Saccharomyces cerevisiae S288C: one gene and its partners. The gene in region 3 interacts genetically with the main gene of each other region. Each region holds a gene or a part of one and is shown on either strand. Other genes may lie near its edges. The genes, in order: MFB1, DPC29, MDM36 and FZO1.

The links.
Region 1: mutations in MDM36 (region 3) and MFB1 together harm fitness more than expected from each alone (negative genetic interaction), as found in Saccharomyces cerevisiae (2 studies listed by BioGRID).
Region 2: mutations in MDM36 (region 3) and DPC29 together harm fitness more than expected from each alone (negative genetic interaction), as found in Saccharomyces cerevisiae (2 studies listed by BioGRID).
Region 4: of MDM36 (region 3) and FZO1, changing one suppresses a phenotype caused by changing the other (phenotypic suppression), as found in Saccharomyces cerevisiae (one study listed by BioGRID).

The regions. Positions count from the first base shown.
Region 1 is NC_001136.10:904,955-910,239, reverse strand, and holds MFB1 (Mfb1p), read left to right. Parts: upstream 1-3,387; coding exon 3,388-4,785; downstream 4,786-5,285. Other genes in the region: YDR222W (uncharacterized protein), read right to left, coding at 1-186; GTB1 (Gtb1p), read right to left, coding at 802-2,910; septin SPR28, read left to right, coding at 5,188-5,285.
Region 2 is NC_001139.9:525,271-529,738, forward strand, and holds DPC29 (post-initiation translation factor DPC29), read left to right. Parts: upstream 1-2,361; coding exon 2,362-3,234; downstream 3,235-4,468. Other genes in the region: UGA1 (4-aminobutyrate transaminase), read left to right, coding at 1-1,374; VMA7 (H(+)-transporting V1 sector ATPase subunit F), read right to left, coding at 1,703-2,059; MTL1 (Mtl1p), read left to right, coding at 3,994-4,468.
Region 3 is NC_001148.4:702,519-707,801, forward strand, and holds MDM36 (Mdm36p), read left to right. Parts: upstream 1-2,335; coding exon 2,336-4,075; downstream 4,076-5,283. Other genes in the region: GRS2 (putative glycine--tRNA ligase), read right to left, coding at 1-1,452; U4/U6-U5 snRNP complex subunit DIB1, read right to left, coding at 1,707-2,138; YPR084W (uncharacterized protein), read left to right, coding at 4,454-5,283. UniProt on the Saccharomyces cerevisiae protein: Involved in mitochondrial distribution and morphology.
Region 4 is NC_001134.8:585,312-591,480, reverse strand, and holds FZO1 (mitofusin), read left to right. Parts: upstream 1-2,366; coding exon 2,367-4,934; downstream 4,935-6,169. Other genes in the region: DTR1 (Dtr1p), read right to left, coding at 22-1,740; EHT1 (medium-chain fatty acid ethyl ester synthase/esterase), read left to right, coding at 5,319-6,169. UniProt on the Saccharomyces cerevisiae protein: Essential transmembrane GTPase, which mediates mitochondrial fusion.

The DNA of each region.
Region 1 (5,285 bases), on a different chromosome or scaffold from region 3:
TCTACCACCATCTGTCTTGTTACTTATGGTGTGTTGGTAGCCCGTTTCACTATCATTGTGACAATACCACTCCAATGGTTGGATGTCATTAATAAGAGTATAGTTCTTACTCTTACTTACCGGTTTTTTGTAATCTACCTCTTTAATAGGCGCAAACTTTATCTTATCACTGCTCGATTCAAGCATCACTAAATGAGTCTCTATGTATGTACGATGTATCTTATACGCCCTCACTGTCAAGAAAAGACAATACGAAGTACGGCGGCAATTGTCACTCAAGAAATTTCTTCATTTTTATATGACTATACATCGTAAACTCAAGCCCAGAGAAGTGAGTCTCCAGTAAACACTGTTCGTTATATCCATCACATTTAAAATCCGTAGGCTTAAGATTGCCAAAACATATGCATACAAATTCCAGTAGTAAACATGATTTTGGAATTCACTGTAATAATCTGTGAGACATCTTGGAAACCGGAAGAACAAAGATGAGAAAAAAAAAAAAAAAAAAATAAAAGCCGCATAAACATCGGCTAGACGGAAAAATTAGCATTACGTCTATGACTTAGTTCTCCGAAAAAAATACAAGCCGTGTGGGGTGATTACGCCGTACCCTTCTTTTCGCGTTATTCCAACAGGTCGTACAGAACTATCAGTATTTGGAACGATATACTTATTTATCGTCTTTTCGCGTTTTGGCCGAGGGAAATATTGCTTTTGTTGCGGAAAAGAGTATCACGGCACAGCATCGGCCTTCCTAGTTGTTTACTTACTAAAAAAGCCTAACTACTCATTTTCCAGTCATTCACTTAAATTGAACTTAGGGGGCTCGTATTCGAAAGTCTTGTTGCAGCCTAGAGGACCAACGACATCGAAGATGTAGTTGCACTTAGTCGCTTCATGTACACTCCGAATCTTGAATTTGTCGCTGCACCGAACAAATACAGTAGCCGATCTGCGCGGACCATTCCAGCACTGGTCTCCATTTTCGTATTCTAGTACCAGACCATTATTCAGTTCGTTTAAGTTCCCGAATACGTAATGTTGCATGTTACCGTCATCGTCCTGTATAGCTGCTAAGTTTGAAATCAAATCACTCTTCTCATCATATGTGGCCTTTAAATGTTCTGCGTATTTTTCCATGTTTAAGTCAACATTAAAACCTGATGTCTTAAAACGACCGATCAAAACTTTTTTACCGTCAACCTTATCCTCAGCTTGATATATGACACCTTCGGTCATTGGACGTTGAAAGCATATAGTGTACACATAGTTGTCCAGTATGTCGTCAAGACAATAGGATTGTGATCCCATTAGTTCTAAAAGCTCAGTCAGATTTCCTGCAGTAGAATTAGTTCCTTCATCTTCAGTTTCATCTAATAATTTCTTATAGTCCATTTTTTGCTTTAATTCATTCTCCAGGAGACTGACTTGACTTTCACAAGAGCGGAATCTCTTCTCTAATGAGACCAAATCTTTTCTAGATGAAAAAATATTCAGCTTAGATAGAATCTCTTTGAGTTTATTGCGCAAATCTCCAGAAGTACCGATATGATCGCTGTTCGTATCTTGTTCTGACTCAACAGCGTCTGGTGGCAATACCTTTGGTGCATTCTCGTTCACAAATGATGTTACTTCGCTCAACGATCTCAAAAGGCTCTCTGACGGGTGAGCTGGTTCTAATTCAGCCAGTTCGCCGTATTCACCTAGGTAGTTTTTATACGAATCGACAGCACTTTTGACCCCTGCATCTTGAAAGTTAACATTGTAATTCTGAGAAATATCATCCATAATCAAACGGAATTCTCTGATATACTCCAAGATATCGTTGGTATAGTTAATTTTACCCTCCACTAGCGCTTGAACAAAATTGGATTTTCCTATGACGTACCTCAACGTGTTCTCAGATTCTCTTTTCAAAAAAATTTGAGGTACTTCTTCTGTAAAGTACAAGTAAAGATTATCTGCCTGCTCATCATCAATTTTGCTATCTGCATTAATTTTAGCCTTTTCAGCCCGTCTTCTAACTTTTCTGAATTTTTTAATATTATCATTGACAACTTTATCATTTAGCGAGGGAGTATAGGCCTCTGATAAATCACTTAAAATCTTGAATATGTCCTGGTAACCTTTACTTACTCTTGAAACCATAGTGAACGATGTAAGGATGTCCGATCCCAAACGAGTACTGTTTAATTGTTCAAATTGATACAAAATGGGATCATGGCTTAATTGGTTAAAGTACTCGCCTCTCAACTGCTCTAATTTGGCTCGATTTTCTGAGAGCCTGTTGGAGAGTACTTTTATCTCGGCAGAAGCTTTTTCCTTATCTTCTTCTAAGCAATTACCACGGGTGATAGCCTCTTCCTTTGTACCGTATTTTCTTTCCAGTTCTTCTAGGGCCTCTTTACCTTCCCGGTAACTTGATAACTCTTTAGAGGCCATAATGTCAAATTCGTTTTTTAACTGAGAACAATTAGATCCAGCATCAAAGAGCTCATATCCAGAAAGTAGCTCGTCAGAACAGTCACAGCAGTCACAAATACCATCTGCGACTTCCGATTTTCGTATATATCTTGGAATAAACCCCTTGTTATCACAATAAAAATACTTATTCACTTTACCACCTCCCTCTGCAACGCTTTTGAATATATCTTCCACGCAGGCGGCGCTGCCGGGCTCATCTGAACCATCAGGACAATCACAAACCCCATCATTAATCTGGCTTATATCCAATACGATATCTTCGTGGTTCAAACAGTGCCATTTAGTCAAATCTGGTTCATTCGAGTCATACAAGTGCTGCTTTTCCCAGGGAACACCCACTATATGCCGTTGACTTTGTTGCAATGACGCTACAAGCGGCGATTGCTCAATTAATAGCAGAAATAATGAGAACATGCTCACCATAGCGAATCTTCTTAATGAAATAGCAGAAGTGCCTTTATGCTTCTTAAATGCAGTGCGGAAGCCTCTGCTTCTACCATAACATCTTCCAACACAGTCTTCATACACTATTATTATTCATTTTATGGCCGGGTAAGTATTTTAAAAGGCATTGGCAATACCCGTTTTGTTTTGACCCAAACAACTGTTTATCATTATTCCTGGTGCTGTCTTCTTAGAAACTATAAACGCTTGTGCACCTACCCAGTATTTAACCAGTTGGGAGGAGATAACAATATTTACTTACTTTTTCACAAAATAGGAAAAGGAAAGTTATACTTTGCTATAGTTTAAACAAAGGGAAAGTTTTCAAATAACCAAGGAGTCTCTGTTACTACTTGCTAAATATCCTCATACAAAATATCAAAACAAATTGGCCAAACTGCACAAGGAAAGTTCACTTTTGTTCCAGAATTAGTTATAGTTCCTTCAACCACATAGATGACATTATTTTCTTGTAGTGTACAGATGCCGCTGGAGGAAAGGTCCCTGACAAACTTACCATTAAACCTATTGTTCCGAATATTGTCTCACCTGGATATGAATGATTTACAAAACATAGGGAAAACTTGCACCTTGCTAAGGATGCTGGCGAATGAGAACATTGTTTACAGAAATGCTGTTATCGGCTCAAACGGGAATATGTGGTGGACAAAAAATGTTCTTGTTGATGTCTTTGATGTTTTGAATTTTAATAGAAAGGCAATGAAAACCTTAAATAGTCACAACATATCCCTGGTCGCATCATTAAGAAATGTTCAGCGGAAATATAAACTAGGCGTTATTGATCCGGCTAGAAAGACAATAAGTTATAGAACAAATGAAGTTGAGAGCAAAGAAAAGGGCTCTGTGAAAGATTTAAATATGGATTTGAACGAACCTACAGAAATAACAAGGGAGCAAATCGCTCATACTGCAATACTACAAGGAATGAATCAATTCATCGAACTCAATGATAAAGCATTTAGGACCCATTCAGCGGATTCTGATGATACATACATAGAGGAGAATAATGGAGAAATACATTCTCTCCACGGATTGGAAAAAAATACAACATTTGAAGAAGACTTAGTCAAAAAGCCACCTTTTATCCCTTCTCCGACATTTTCTAATTATTCTAGAAGTTCAACAAATTCTGTATTTTCAAGTTCATCGCCCAAACTACTGGACGATGATTGGAATAATATTACAATGGATTTCACTAAGTCACGAGATCCTGATTATAAAGAGATGACGCCTACATCTACTGAATCGTCTGACTCAATCACAAGATTGAGAAAATCTAATAAAGTCAAGGATAAAGCCGAACTTTTTGAGAAGTTAATTTTTAGAGATAGCAGACCATTAAAAACAAAGAAAAAGGACAATCCAAGATTGAAATTATCCAGTTCGTTAAGTGCTAATGACGAAGATTTTAGGAAAATCATAAGTCCCCCTTCTGACATACTACCGAAAGTTGGCAGAAGGAGCGTCTCAAGAGGTTATTTAGAGGAGATTGAAAGGCATTATCCCGATTTTAACGGTGAAACAACTAATCCTCTAGCAATTAAAAGAGTCAACAGTACAAAGATAGCAAATTATGAACAATTAATTATAAAAGAAAATAGCTCGAACTGTAAAGGAATAACAGAGAAAAATGATGAAAATAAATTTCAAAGAAGTCACACTTCCCCAGTAATAGAATTATCCAAACCTCATCAAAGAAGCAAATTAAAGGCGGTTGTTACAGACGGTAATAAGATATGCTATCGCAAAATCGAATTGGATAACCCTAGTGGGTCGAATACGAATGATCATGTAATCAAACGGCTTGACGCTAATACCGATTTTAATATATAACAGAAAACGCCTCAAACCGACTTTGCTTGGAAGAGTTTTCTCTGAATTAGCAACGGAACTTCGAAATGGTTTTAGACAAGCATGCATGGTATGTAGAAACAGTTAAAGAGCGCCGCTACCATTTGCACAGATGTACATATAAATAAATGACTTATTTTTTATATTCTATCAATAATAAGACAATTTGTGGTTGCCTTTAGAAATTTCGTGGCTTTTTTTCATATATTCTAACTTCAATAAAGTTTTTTTGATGCGAAATTTGATCGCTCATATTAAGGACGCCTGAAAAAGACATGCGTCTACATTTTGTGTCATTCCCATAAGAATAGTAAGAACAGGCATTTTTATAAATCGATACAAAAAAAGAGCTACTATACGTACATAAAGTCAGTAAATAATCAAATGTTCCCAATGAAAGATCACTCAGCTCTTGAACAACATACTCTCAGCAGAGATGAGTTAAGACGTCGCAAGGGTTACAAGAAAGGACTGCAGTTGTC
Region 2 (4,468 bases), on a different chromosome or scaffold from region 3:
CCAACTGTTAAGACCGAGTCCATTCCTGGTCCTGAATCCCAGAAGCAGTTAAAGGAACTGGGTGAAGTTTTTGACACAAGACCAGCATATTTTTTGGCTGATTATGAGAAATCTTTAGGTAACTATATCACTGATGTGGATGGGAACACATATTTGGATTTGTATGCCCAAATCTCTTCAATTGCACTTGGTTATAACAACCCTGCTTTGATCAAGGCAGCACAATCACCAGAAATGATCCGTGCTTTGGTCGACCGTCCTGCCTTAGGTAACTTCCCATCTAAGGATTTAGACAAGATATTGAAGCAAATATTGAAATCTGCGCCAAAGGGTCAAGATCACGTCTGGTCAGGGCTTTCCGGTGCAGATGCCAATGAATTAGCGTTCAAGGCTGCCTTTATTTATTACCGTGCCAAACAAAGGGGCTATGATGCCGATTTTTCTGAAAAGGAAAACTTGTCTGTCATGGACAATGACGCCCCTGGCGCCCCTCATCTTGCCGTACTATCGTTCAAGAGAGCGTTCCACGGTAGATTGTTTGCCTCCGGTTCCACAACTTGTTCTAAACCAATTCACAAGTTGGATTTCCCAGCCTTCCACTGGCCTCATGCTGAGTATCCATCTTACCAATACCCATTAGATGAAAATTCTGATGCAAACCGTAAAGAGGATGACCATTGCTTGGCCATTGTTGAAGAATTAATCAAAACCTGGTCTATTCCAGTTGCTGCCTTAATCATCGAACCAATTCAATCTGAGGGAGGTGATAACCACGCTTCTAAGTATTTCTTACAAAAGCTAAGAGACATTACCTTGAAGTATAACGTTGTCTACATCATAGATGAAGTGCAAACAGGTGTCGGAGCCACCGGTAAGCTATGGTGTCATGAGTACGCCGATATTCAACCACCTGTGGATTTAGTGACCTTTTCCAAGAAATTCCAAAGTGCAGGATATTTCTTCCACGACCCTAAATTCATTCCAAACAAACCATACAGACAATTCAACACATGGTGTGGTGAACCTGCAAGAATGATCATTGCAGGTGCCATTGGACAGGAAATCTCCGACAAGAAGTTGACTGAACAATGTTCAAGAGTAGGTGATTATTTGTTCAAGAAATTGGAGGGTTTGCAGAAGAAATACCCTGAAAACTTTCAAAACTTGAGAGGTAAAGGAAGAGGCACATTCATTGCCTGGGATTTGCCTACTGGTGAGAAGAGAGACTTACTATTGAAGAAATTGAAGTTGAATGGTTGCAACGTTGGTGGATGTGCAGTCCATGCAGTGAGATTAAGACCTTCATTAACATTCGAGGAGAAGCATGCTGATATCTTTATTGAAGCATTAGCCAAATCAGTTAATGAATTATGATTGTATATTAGCGAGGCCGTGTCACGTTCCCTTTTTTGGTCTTTATATATGTGTATCTTGTTATAATTTTAAAGAAAAGTTTTATATTACTCATCAGTTGTGTGTGAAAAATATGGGCGGGTATTCACAATAGGAAAAAAAAAATGGGTTTGGTGACTGCAGTAAAGACGTGCTAAAAAAAAAAAAGTTGTTTTTATCTGAACCTTAAATATATCATTTATGAGTGTATATATTATACAAACGCAATAACAGTGGCTCCCGCCCTCCACCTCCGCCTGCTACTAGTAATCTACCAGTAATTGTGTTTGTTTTGGGAAAGATCGTTCGCTTACTCACCGAACAACTTTCTGACTCTCTTCAATACAGAGTCCTTTTCAGGGTCGTAGGGATGATCTTTAGATGGAATTTCTAAAATAGCAGGGAACGCATTGGTGAAGGAGTCCACTCTAGCTCTTATGTTTTCCGCGATATGTTGGTTGATTAGAAGGATGGCAATATCGTCTCTCTCTTCAGTAAAGTGATTAAACTTGTCAGTGATTTCCTCCTTAGTAGTCTTACCTTCTTGGTAAACAAAAAAGTTCTTTTCTTGGGTTTCAGGAGTGATTTGTCCAATCCCGGCTAACAATAAACCAGTTGTAGTATCTTCGTCAGCTATCACAGCTATAAGAGTACGTTTCTCAGCCATGATTTAGTTACTATGCGTCAGTGAGACTAGCTATGAATATAGAAATGTAGTGCTCTATTTTCTTAATTCTTTGTCAACTCGATATAATAAATGTAGTGCTTGCAATTCACGTTGGTTTTCCTGTTATCGTTCGCCTTTATTTTTTTTTTTTCTTTCGTTTTCCTACTTCCCTTTACCGGCGTAAGCGCAGTGAAATTTTTTTAGTACGCACGTACGCAAGTTTCAGCAGCAATAAGGGGAAAGATGATGATAATAACTAAGAAAAACAGCAAACTTGGTATGAACGCATCAAAAATTGGAAAATGTTGGTAAGAAATAGGTATCTGGGTGAACTGCTCAAAAACTCTCGATCGTTTAGTGTGCTGAATTCCTCGGTACGTTCAGGTCACAACAAATGGTCAACCATCAAGCACGGTAAAGCCAAGAATGATGCGGAACGAAACAAAATTAATAACAAGTTTGCAAACCAGATAGCAATGTCAGTCAAGTTAGGCAACGGTATTACGGATCCGAGCATGAATATAAGATTAGCCACCAGCATCGAGCTAGCAAATAAAAACAATGTCAGCAAAAAAGTTATTGAGAACGCCATCCGGAAAGCTTCTGGAAGCAGCGCATCGGGCAAGGACTCAAACGCTTCTGAGCTATGTGTATACGAGGGAATGGGGCCCGGCGGGGTCGCTATAGTGGTGGAAGCGCTGACAGACAACAAGAACAGGACCATAGGTCTGATAAGGAGTGCATTTAATAAAGCTAATGGATCGATGACTCCAACGTTGTTTTTCTTCGACAAAAAAGGATACGTTACAATGGTACCTCCGAAGATGTTAGACACTGAGGACAAGGTGCTAGAAAGCGTACTGGAGATTCAAGGCATCGAAGACATTGCGCCTGTGCAGGAAGACGCAGAAGATTTAGAGTGTGATACCGAAACTGAAACTACAGGCCAAACTTACGAGGCGGTGATGGAACCTGCCGATACCAATAAGGTGGCCGCCCTACTGAAGGAGCGTGGTTTCCACATCAGAGACTTGGGCATCGGCTACAATGCCAAGCCGGATATGGAAGTTTTCGTGCAAGGCGATGAAACGCTCGAGAAACTACAGAAACTGACCACAGCGCTCGAGGACATCGACGAAGTGACGTCGTTGTACACTAACGCTAGCAACGCTTAATCCAACCAAACCGTAAATAAATAATCAATACCACAAATACCTGTATATACTAAACAAACAGTAGTAATAACTGTAATAAAGAGTAAAAACAACAACAAAGACAATCGTACGTAAAAACACCAAGCGGACACCAGCACTTGCCTGCTGCGGACTGTTGTCTGCGGACTGGCGGGGGTCGAGCAAGAACCGACGAAGTAACCGACGGAAGGCGGGCGGAGACGGAGACGCAGCCGAGATCTATTTTTACTCAGCGGTAATATTAGATCATGGCTAGGGGGATCTGGAAGTACAATGATGTGCTCTCCCCCTCTCAAACACAACACCAGGATGAACTAAGGGCTCATCTCGAAAGTCGAAGGTGCCTCATTCAGGTTATTAGTGGTGCCTGTTGTGTCTTCCATGAACAAGGAGCACTTAATTACTTGTTGTTGCATGAGATATCATTTTTTTTTTTCCCTCTTTCTTGGGGTCTTGACAGTCATCAAATCGAAGTTTTTAGTTTTTCTTCTTCGGGAAGATCAATTTTAGGTAGAAAAGTGTAGATGAAAAACGAAGGATACTGCTATTTACTGTAAGTACTCTTCGGTCCATATTGGAAGACCAAGGCATAATAAGGATATATTCCGAGGAGATAATTGGGATATAATCCTCCATTGCTTCCGAAATTTGTTTAAACACTTCTAGTTCATTTCGGGTTGGTTCGATCTTCGTTTCCACTTTTAACTTACTCCCAGTTAGTATAATATAAGTAGTTAAGGTATGGCAAGCTGCAATCCGACCAGGAAGAAGAGCTCTGCTTCAAGCCTATCTATGTGGAGAACGATTCTCATGGCGTTAACAACACTACCGCTAAGTGTTCTTTCGCAGGAGTTGGTTCCAGCTAATAGCACAACATCGAGCACAGCTCCTTCCATCACTTCGCTTTCCGCAGTTGAGTCATTTACGTCCAGTACCGATGCAACGAGCAGCGCAAGTTTATCAACGCCGAGTATAGCTTCAGTATCCTTTACTTCCTTCCCACAAAGTTCTTCACTGCTTACTCTTTCGTCAACATTATCCTCAGAACTTTCCTCTTCGTCCATGCAAGTTTCGTCGTCTTCAACATCGTCGTCTTCTTCGGAGGTTACGTCATCATCGTCATCATCATCAATATCTCCTTCCTCTTCATCATCAACAATAATATCATCGTCATCATCACTGCCGACATTCACTGTGGCATCAACATCTTCGACAG
Region 3 (5,283 bases):
TTGGAAACAATGGTCGAAGATGCAGTATATGATACGACCTAAACCGAACGAGGGCTCAATGACATTAGGAATGTACTCTCGTATATGTTGCAAAGTTGTCTTCATTTTGATAGTAACCAAACTGCTATCTAGTTTTACGATCTGGCCATTTACTTGACAGGTAAATTCACCGTTCTTTTCCAGTTCTTCATGCCTCCTAATCAATTCATCCTGGGAAAATTTTGACAAAACAGATTCGATTAATTTTGCTTTCTGTTTGAACTTCGATCCGAAAAATTTCTTATTCACTTCCACAACCCACTCGGTTCTTTCTTTTGGTGTATCTAGCTTTTGCTTTACCGTCAGACTTCTTCCCGTTTTCTTGGAGTGTACAGTTAAATCAAAAGCCGCCCTGTCAGCACAACCGACACATTCAATCCAACCATACGATGTTAAAATTTCACCGTCCCAACAATCTGTGGCATAGTGTGCCATTTCATTCTTCAAATGCTGGCGAAATCTGAATTTGTCCTTGTTGATCCCAATATTCAACAAAAATTGATGAACTCTTGCCATAAAATATCCCAATGTTTCATTTTCTACCATTCCAGAATTCACTGCCTCTCCTATAGTCATTTTCACAGGCAGTTGGACTTCACCACTTTCCTGTAATCTGCGTGATAGTAGTGGAATCTCCTCATTTAACACTTCATTGAATTTTGCATGTGACTTATTCAACGGATCAACAAAGTGCTCAATTTCTGCCATTAAAAACTCTCTTACCCTTAAAAGCCCACTTCTGGGGGAAATTTCGTTTCTGAATGACTTACCAATGGAAGCTGAAGCAAACGGAATTTTCCCTTGGTTGATTTCCAATAATTTGTTGAAATTGAGAAATTGTCCTTGTGCAGTCTCTGGCCTTAGAAAGGCCTTCAATTGTCCTGAGGCTCCAATTTTAGTTTCGAACATCAAATTAAAGGAAGTTAGTGCGTCTAAAACATCGTTAGTGACTGGATCATTAATGTTATATTCCTGCATGACGAGATTCAACTCAGGACCCGAAAACCCGTCAATCGTGGTCAATATTTTCTCCATATTTTTCATATCCTGTGGATTGACATCCTTGTCCAACAGCCGTTTTTTCAACGTCTGTTCAATCAAATGGTCTGCTCTGTAGTATTCCCCAGTCTTAGGATTTCGGCACATCCAATCAGTAAATTTGTCTACATGCCCAGAAGTCTTCAACACATCGTAAGGAGTTAGCATTGGCCCATCAACCTGAAGCATGTTTTCTTCCATAATAAAATGTTCTCGCCACAGTCGAATCAAGTTATTTTGCAACTGACAACCCGGAGGCCCTAAATCAAATAAACCTGACACACCACCATATATCTCAAACGAGGGTGTGTAGAAAAACCTTCTCCTCAATGTACTTTCCAATTTATCTCTTTCCGAATTGGACATTAACGGCATGTTGATGTGATATGTCTTTCAACAGTCCAACAAAATGTTCTTTAATGTATCACATTTATCGTTTTTCACTTTCATTGTCTAAAAGAAAAAAAGGGTTGCAACTACTATCGCAGGTTCATAAATTAGACCTCATACGAACAGTTCATCAGAACTGATCAATATGCTTCGACCTTTTATATTCTGTCAAGGTTATTCATTACTTACTCACTGAATTGTTAAGACATCGTGCGCCTAGCCTACATAGTTATTATGAATTATGAAACACGCTTATGATTATAATCGTATGGAGAGACCACCAGCCCTTTGTTCTTCCTGGCACCTCTGAATATAGTTTCTAATATGTCAATCATTTCTTGTTTGTCGTCTACAATAAAGTTCAACTTGTTGTTGTTCCCTGTACCAAAATCACACATCATGTGCTTATTGTGGTAGAAAAACATTACTGTCATGGGATCCGTCAGCTCGTACATCTCATCAAAATCTGAAACTTCATCTATATCACATAAATAAATAACTGCAAAGTTCCTTACTCTTTCAGCAATCGAAGATAACAACTCGTCCATGATCATACATTGTCTATCATTTTTGCGACCAAAACGAATGACAACAAGTCGTTTAGTCTCGGTAACAATAGCCTGATCCACATGCCATCCCGTACGCAATTGAGGCAACAAAACACTAGCCATCAAAACTTGACTTCTTACTCTTTCTCTACGTACTATTTCTATCCGATGATCGAATTTGGTATGTAAGTTCTGTTTTTCCACTTTGCGAAGCGGTCATTGGCCCAAAAGAAATACAACGAGTCATCTCCTCGCAGTAAACTGTACAACAGCAAAGAAACAGTTAAAAACCCTCCAGAGAGAACACTTACTACTATAGCATGGATGAAAACGGTACAGTAAAGCCTGGCTATGAATTAAAGGGACTCAATTCGGGAAATTCGAGGTCAAATATGGATAAGGATCCCATCGTTAGCAAATTTCATAGGGCTGGTCTCAATGATTCTGCAGACGAGGAAGATACTGATATCAATGGTAATCGCAACACTAGCTGGATAACTTCAATGATTAGTGAAGAAAAACGCAAGGTGGAGGGAAAATCTATGCTGAATGATGAGGAAGATTTGCATTTATCCAAAGCTACTTTGAACAAATGCGATGCTCTAGTTAAGATATTAGCGGATATTATCAAGCTAGAGTTTGTTATTCACCAATCATGGTATATCAGATCCCTTCACAAGAGTGTCTTAATTCAATTTGAAGTAGAAACGTCTGGTGGAAATAAGAATAGCGCCGGTGATAGCGGCGACGATGATGATGATAATCATAATGGTAATCTGGACGATAGCTTTTATAAAGATTTAAGCTTAAAATGCATCAAAAAATGCGAGAAGTCTTCCCTTGCACTTGAGTCGCTGTCAAGGGACATTGACCAAATTAGAGATTTCATAATGTCCAATACAATAGAAGACAACAGGGTTGACAGGCTTTTGCAGAATTCGATGACCCTGTTATTAGAGTGTTGGATCTACTCTATGAAGAGATTGCGCCGTCTAAGGATGAAGATTGCAGGTATCTTTGTTAGGTCCAAACTTTTGCTTATTGATCATGAATTAGTGACCATATGGCATTTTTTACAGGAGCAAAACGAGCACGAAACGGTTAATAATGAGAACGAACTGAAATTGGCAGAAACAATAAAATCATACAGAGCGTTCATTAAGATATTTATTCAACAATTGGAGGACTCCGAATCGGGATCTCCATCCTCCTCTTTGTTTGAAGAATGTTTACACGTTTTTTTGGATATAGAATCGATGTACAACTCTTTAAACCTGAATTGGCTTTTGAACGAAAACAAAGCATTACAAGAAAGACTACTATCACCATCGTCGACATCGGAGAACGATCATACTAATAACCTTCCCGTTATTGATGAGACAAAGGAAATCGAAGATATCAGCTCATTTGTCAATAGCATTGTGGATGCATCCATGTTGACACATGATTTGACTCCTATTAACTCATCAGATAGCGACAATTTATCAAACGGAGAAATCGATCGTCTAGATGGAAGAAGGTTATCCTCTTCCACGTCAGATATGTCATTGATGATGCAAAGGACTTCTCTGCAGAAACAACTTCCTAGCTTATTAACTGCCTTCAACAACGCAAGAAGACTAGAACAAGAATTGCAAAACGCATGCAAAGTAAACGATAACAAACATAGCACGAAAGATACTGATTCAAATATACGACGGAATGAACATGCTATGTCTTCAAGTGTATCCTCCATCATCTCCCAAAACTCCACATTAGCATCACCGTCTCCTCCGATGTCATCGTCCTTTATATCCACGGCGCCATCACAATCAAGTTCTCGTATGAGTACATTACCACTGTCTCCTTCCTCTTCATTATTGGAATCACAATCGCAAACGCTGAAGAACAATATGTCGCAATGGTTGAACCAATCGCGATCTGGCCTCAACGGCACAAAACTTATTCCAACAAACCACATTGGGTTTCACAGCAATGTTCTGAATACTTTGTATGGTATCGGTGGTGGTCCGGTATCGAAATCTTATAAATCCAATCAACCTTCTTCACAAAATACTTGATAAGAATAAGGATATCATTGCTATGTAAACAAACTAAATGCGAGGGTTGAGTACATAAATACAAAGCAAGACTTTTATCATACATAACACATATAACAACCAATGCATGCATCCTCTCGACAATAGTTTTGTGCGTATGTCTTTGCGAAGTCCAAATACTACTCACATCCATCTTTTATTTTTTAATCCCATCGCAGCGAGTTTAAGCCTGAAAAATAGTGAACCAGTTGAAAAACACTAATAACATCGATGCAAAACTAACTATCAATAAACTGTTGTGTTTTTAGAACTCTGTACGTTGTTTCCTATCCCAAGAGTTCAATAAGACGCAGCCAAGCTTTTATTCTCTTGACTCGTCCATCATAGAGCTTTATAGAAATGTCAGAGAAGGCTTCTGAAGAGAGACCCATACGGCTGGCCGTTCTGGGGGGCACTTCTACCGGAAAGACCTCCCTGGTATCTAGGCTTACTGTTAATATCGTCCACGAGGTTCATTATCCAACAAGAAACCAAACTAACTGGCTTTTCGGCTTTGTTCCGTCATCGATCCTGGCCAGAGCTATATTAGACGAACAAGCTCACGAAAGACTTTGCCTTCGTTCCCCAAGCAGCCAAACCTTAGAGCCTATCTTCCCTTCACCTCAGGTCTCCAAAAATGTACTGCTGTCGCCATTGGTGTTTCAAGCTTCCACTGATAATTTTCAATCAGTGAGGTTACACAACAAAAGCCACTCCAGGAGATCCCTATCTTTGGATAAATCTGATTCTCCGCTGTATCAAACTTTTTCCAATGACATTAACTCTCAAAGTGTTCCTAAAATCAAGGCAGACCAGCTTAACGTTATCGAGCATTTTAAATTGCCCCTGAATTACATTCCACCCACTTATGCACCAATCCAGATTGATATTATTGATACGCCTGGCTTCAGTCCTGATAATGTGGTGCCGTTCTTAGAAGTTTCTCTCTTCCGAAATTTAGGAAAATCAATCCTACATGGACTAGCAGATGAACCAAGACGACCTGTATCTACTACTTCACTATTGGTTGCCTCTGGTGCCTCTGAGTTGAATGGTAAAGTTGACGGTTATATCTTGGTGTATAGCGCAGTCCCTGAATTAAACCATATTGGAGGCCCTCCGGAATATGGAGATGATGTGATGAACACAGATACGGAAAACGTCAGCGATGGTGGATTTGAACTTTTAAA
Region 4 (6,169 bases), on a different chromosome or scaffold from region 3:
TAGCTAAACATAAACTATTTCTTAAAATTCTTTGGCAGTATATTTTCTTTGAAAAATGAGAAGATATAATATACCAATCAATGAAATTGAACTGCAGAGACCGAGCCCTGTAAAACACCATCCAATTCCCATTGCGTTACAGAGCTGTAAAATGATAGCGGAACTAATGGCAGCGCCCACATTTCGAAAGAAACTACTAACAGCAACAGTTCCAGCAGCTCTTTTGGGGAATAACTCAGTTAAATATGTCATTGATGTGTTGCTGCACCAGGTCATACCAAAGGCAGTGAGAGCGGAAAAAACTAAAAGAACCACAAAATGATAATGAAAGAAGATTGCCCATCCGTATCCTATTGTGCCACATATTGTTAGTAAAATTCCAATTAGGTTCAGTAATAAACGAAACTCTGCCGGGAATTTCTTTTTAGGATGACTTTTGATCCAGCGTGAACGAAGATAATCTGAGAGGTGCCCACCAGATTGAGATCCTAGTAACATAGCTACACCTGGGCAGACATAAGCAGCACCAATTTCTAACATAGTAAAACGGTAGTCATGTTCAAGGTAATACGAAAACGTGACGCTGAACGCATAGTAACTGGAGAACAGGAGTGCAGTACTGACGGACGTGATTATTATTGGAGGACATTTAATCATTTTCCAATATAGTGTCAAACCTGCTTTAGGCGGCTTTGGAAAATTTTCTTGGAAGAAAGCATCATTATTGACTGGTTTACGGATACCAATGTCTGGGAACAGACGCCGATGTGATATTTTATTACCTTCGAAGAATGGAGATTCGTTATTTTCACGTTCATCTTTTTTGTCACCCCATTTAGGGTCTCCATTACCAACTATACAACGTAGCGTTTCTGGAAGTAAAGCAGTAACCAAGATCAATGCTATTCCTGTCATGATAGAAGTGAAACCAAAAAGCCATCTCCAGTAATTTCCTTTCATTAAAATAAGCCCAGCAACAATGGGTGCTATAATAGGACCCATGTTTGGACCCATCATGAAATACGCTATGGCCTTTCCCCTGTGTTTTGGAGGAACAACGTCTGTTACAGTGCCAGCTCCCAGAGAAATCACAGAGCTGGAAGCGAAAGCTTGGAAAATTCTTAAAACAAAAAGGGCAGCAATATTGACTGGTACAGCGGCCAAAAGTATATTAACAATTAACATTAGTGATAACGACACCATATATAAGAATTTCCTTCCACCAAAATCCGCCAGTGCGCCCCAAAACAATGGACCAACGGAAAAAACAGCCATAAATACAGAAACTGTAGCGTTTATTGTTGTTGCACTTACATCATATTCCCTTTGCAGCAATGGTAAAGCCGGTATATATATGTTTCCAGACATTGGGCCCAAAAATCCTATAAAAATGATAATTCCAAAAATGATTAGTCTTTGATCCTTGGAAAAATAAGTATATGGAATATGTGCTTGAGTATCAGGAGAAGGGTCTCTTGACTGGGAGTTCGATGACTTTACAGCAACTTCCTCTTCTTTTGTTTTTGCTTTCTGTGCTGACAATGATGGGGAAGAGTCAGGGTGCTCATGAAAGACATCATGATCTATATTGGCTCTCTTTTGGTTCACCTGATCCCAGCTTTCATTAATTACATCATCTCCTAGATCTTCTAGCGAATGAAATGTTGAGCGGGTTGTTCCACTTTCTTGCGAATTAATTTGCAGACCCAAATTCTTTTTCTGAAACGGTTCGCTTCCCATTGCCTTAATTCTTTTCCCAGCTCTTGAAACTCTTTTTTGAAAAATTACCAACAACAACTTTTCTTACTACCATCCTTCTAGCCTTATCAATATTCTCATATATCTTAAAATTGCAATTGTTGTTACAAAGGAGTTTGTGTCGTTTTTCACCAGGTGACAGAATGTCTGGGTTGAAAGTATCAATGAAAAAAAAAAATGTAGAGAGATGCCAAAACAGTGGCCAACAGGCAGCTTTGGCTACGGAAATGATTTGGAAACCTGCATAAGTATTTCTCCGCGAAATTGGGAAGAGTGATATGGATAGTTGTGATCCACGGTATATAATTCCTTGTGATCCCTTATCTGGCAAGATAGCTATAGTATTACTAATACGTGGCGCTAGTATAATAACTCGCGCAAAGACCGAACGGAGATTAATATTTAAAAGTTGGTGCGCAGTCCGGGTAAATACAGCTTTTCATGCTGAAGAATATGGCCGGGCTAATATTAATTAAGACGGACGATGCATTATTGAAACAGGATAACGCAGGTTACAGTAGCCCTTAATAAATAAAGCAAAGTACATCCGAACATAGCAACATTATCTGATATCACGGATAGAGGCAAAACGGTAGGCTCATTTAACGATGTCTGAAGGAAAACAACAATTCAAAGACAGCAATAAACCGCACAAGGACTCCACAGATCAGGACGATGATGCCGCCACAATAGTACCACAAACTCTTACTTACTCACGCAACGAAGGTCATTTTTTAGGCAGTAATTTCCATGGAGTAACTGATGACCGTACCACTTTGTTTGATGGTGAAGAGGGGCGTAGGGAGGATGATTTGTTGCCCTCATTGCGTTCCTCCAACTCAAAAGCACACTTAATTTCTTCACAACTTAGCCAGTGGAATTATAACAACAATAGAGTACTTTTAAAAAGATCTATATTAAAGACACAAGCTTTTATGGATCAACTTCAAGAAGAAAATAATATTCGCCCGATTTTTATTGCTGCAAATGATGAACGGGAAAAATTACATGTTCTACAACTGAATATCAAGCTAGATGGTCAGTACAATACCAAAGAAAAGAACGGTTTCAACATTGAGAAAAAAGCTTTATCAAAATTATTTCACTCTCAGATCGTATCAGTGACAAATCATTTAAACGCTTTGAAAAAAAGAGTGGATGACGTTTCATCTAAAGTATTCATCACAGGTGATGTAAATACTGGTAAATCAGCTCTTTGCAACTCTCTATTAAAGCAGCGTTTGCTACCTGAGGATCAGCTACCATGTACCAATGTATTTTCCGAAATACTAGAGGCTCGGGAAAATGACGGCATAGAGGAGGTTCATGCCATACCACTAAACATTGCTCCGACTCTCAAGGAAGCCATTGATATGTATTCAATACAAAATCCCAAGACTTATGAAATACACACTTTGAAAGAACTTCCCGATTTGGTTCCCCAAAACGGAAAATATGCTTTACTGAAGATTTACATAAAGGACGATAAAAGGCCTGCCTCTACTAGTCTATTAAGGAATGGTACTGTTGATATTTCATTAATTGACTCCCCTGGGTTGAACATGGACTCGTTACAAACCGCCGAAGTAATGTCCCGACAAGAAGAAATCGACTTAGTTATATTTGTTGTCAATGCAGAGAACCAGCTAACACTATCTGCCAAGGAGTTTATTTCTTTAGCATCTCGTGAGAAAAAATTAATGTTTTTTGTTGTGAAAAAATTTGACAAAATCAGGGACAAACAACGTTGTAAGGAGTTGATCCTAAAGCAAATCCGTGACCTGTCCCCAGAAACATATAAACGTGCAGCTGATTTTGTCCACTTTGTTTCCAAAAACGGAGATGAATTGCCACATTATCATAATGAAAATGACAATGAAGATCATGGTGACCGAAAACCTGACGACGACCCATATTCTAGCAGCGATCCCGATCCGGATTTTGACAGTCTGGAAGATTCTCTACGCAATTTTGTTTTGAAGAAAAGATCACTTTCTAAATTGTTACCTGCCAAGACTTATCTATCGAAATTATTAAGCGATATAATAATGATCTCCAAATCTAATATGAAAATGTATAGTGAAGAAGAAATAAAAATTAACGAACAACTGGAAACATTGAGACCTGAAATTTTGAGCGCTAGAGCAAAGTGCAATGATTTAACAACTTCCGTTGATCAAATGGCCGAGCAAACAATTACAATGACTTATAACAATACTAAAGAAGCACTTCTCAATGCGTTGGATGTTCCGCTACACGAATATCCGAAATATCAGGGCCTCGGTCAAATTTATGACTTCATATTTTCAACAGAAGCGTTCATAGCAAATCAGATTGATGAGTCAATAGGATCAAGTGAATTATTTGCCAAGCAAAAGACAGATTTACTGGTAAAAAAAATTTATGAGATTGGAAAAAATGAACTTGGTGATGATTTCATGTGTGAACGTGTTTTCAGAAGCGAACTAATGTTTAGAAAAAGGAAGCATTTGATAGGAAAAAGGCTTAAAGTATCTTTGTCAATAACTGATTTGTTTGCTCCAACTTGGAAAGGCTTTTTGTCTTACTTAAGCTGGCAGAAACCTGTCACAGCACCACTGCCGGATATAGAAGGACAAACTAACGAGGGTCAGATTGGCCTAATGAAGTATTTGGGTTTGAAAAATTATCCTTTGACACAATATTGGTCAAGACCATCATTGCTCTTCACATCAAAAATTCCCACTCTAACGCTGTACTTTCTAGGAAGTACAAAGGTTGTGGGGAACATTATATTAAACGGCATTAAATTATCGTCGTGGAGCTCACTCAAGAAGTTATCAGTTCCGGTTATAGTGGTAGGTTCCTTGTTGGGACTTACGTATTTAATTCATGACCTCCCCCGTGCCTTACCAATGAATCTTTCCATTAAATACAAAAGAAAGTTGCAAGAACTGGATTACATTCATCTTAACGCTCAAAGAACCTCAAATGAAGTACGTGATGTTTTGCGTGTACCTACACGTGAAATTCTAAGGTCGTGTGAAATAATTATGGATAAAAAACAAATCACTAAGAAAGAATTGGAAAACAAAAAAGAAAGTAACTTGTTGTCAATCAAATTCTTCCAATCTCTATACGAAGGAACCGTGGCTCAAAAATTGATGGTGGAAGAAATAAATTTAGACATCGATTAGATATTCTTGTAAATATATGAGGTCTTTTCAAATCAATATACATAATGTTACTTATTATTTTATTCCAAGCAGGTCCATTTTTTTTTTCACTTTGCACGAAATTACATAAACATTAAAAGGACCCTTGTGTATCTGCTTAATGATTTGCAAAACCTGCGGAAACGGAACGAAAAATGAGCAATCTCGTTCCGGTTCCGAGATCCTTTTTTTTTTTTAAATCTTGCGCATGTGCAGATTTTAAAAGGCGTCAGATATCGGATGTCCCTGGAAGTAATAGCTCCTCGAGTATTTCCTCCGTTTATTATTAATATGAGCAGTTTTTTAAGTTCTATTATTACATTGATAGTAGTTGCGTAAAAAACAAAGCTCATAAAAGTTTCCGATATGTCAGAAGTTTCCAAATGGCCAGCAATCAACCCATTCCATTGGGGATACAATGGTACAGTTTCGCATATTGTCGGTGAAAATGGTTCCATTAAACTCCATTTAAAAGACAACAAGGAGCAAGTTGATTTTGACGAGTTCGCTAACAAATATGTCCCAACGTTGAAGAATGGTGCCCAATTCAAATTGAGTCCTTACTTGTTCACAGGTATTTTGCAAACTTTGTACTTAGGTGCTGCTGATTTCTCTAAGAAATTTCCTGTATTCTACGGCAGGGAAATTGTCAAATTCTCGGATGGTGGAGTTTGCACCGCTGACTGGCTCATAGATTCATGGAAAAAGGATTATGAATTCGATCAAAGTACTACGAGCTTTGATAAAAAAAAATTTGATAAAGACGAGAAGGCGACACATCCAGAAGGATGGCCTCGTTTACAACCACGTACAAGGTACCTGAAAGATAATGAGTTGGAAGAACTACGGGAGGTTGATCTACCCCTAGTAGTTATTCTACATGGTCTTGCTGGTGGTAGTCATGAGCCGATTATAAGATCTCTTGCTGAAAACCTGTCTCGCAGTGGGAGATTTCAAGTGGTCGTCCTAAATACCAGAGGTTGTGCACGTTCCAAAATTACCACCAGAAATTTATTTACAGCTTATCACACAATGGATATTCGCGAGTTTTTGCAAAGAGAAAAGCAAAGACATCCAGATAGAAAACTATACGCTGTGGGATGCTCTTTTGGTGCTACGATGCTGGCAAACTATCTGGGAGAAGAGGGCGATAAATCACCTTTATCCGCAGCTGCTACTTTGTGCAATCCTTGGGATCTTCTCCTTTCAGCAATTAG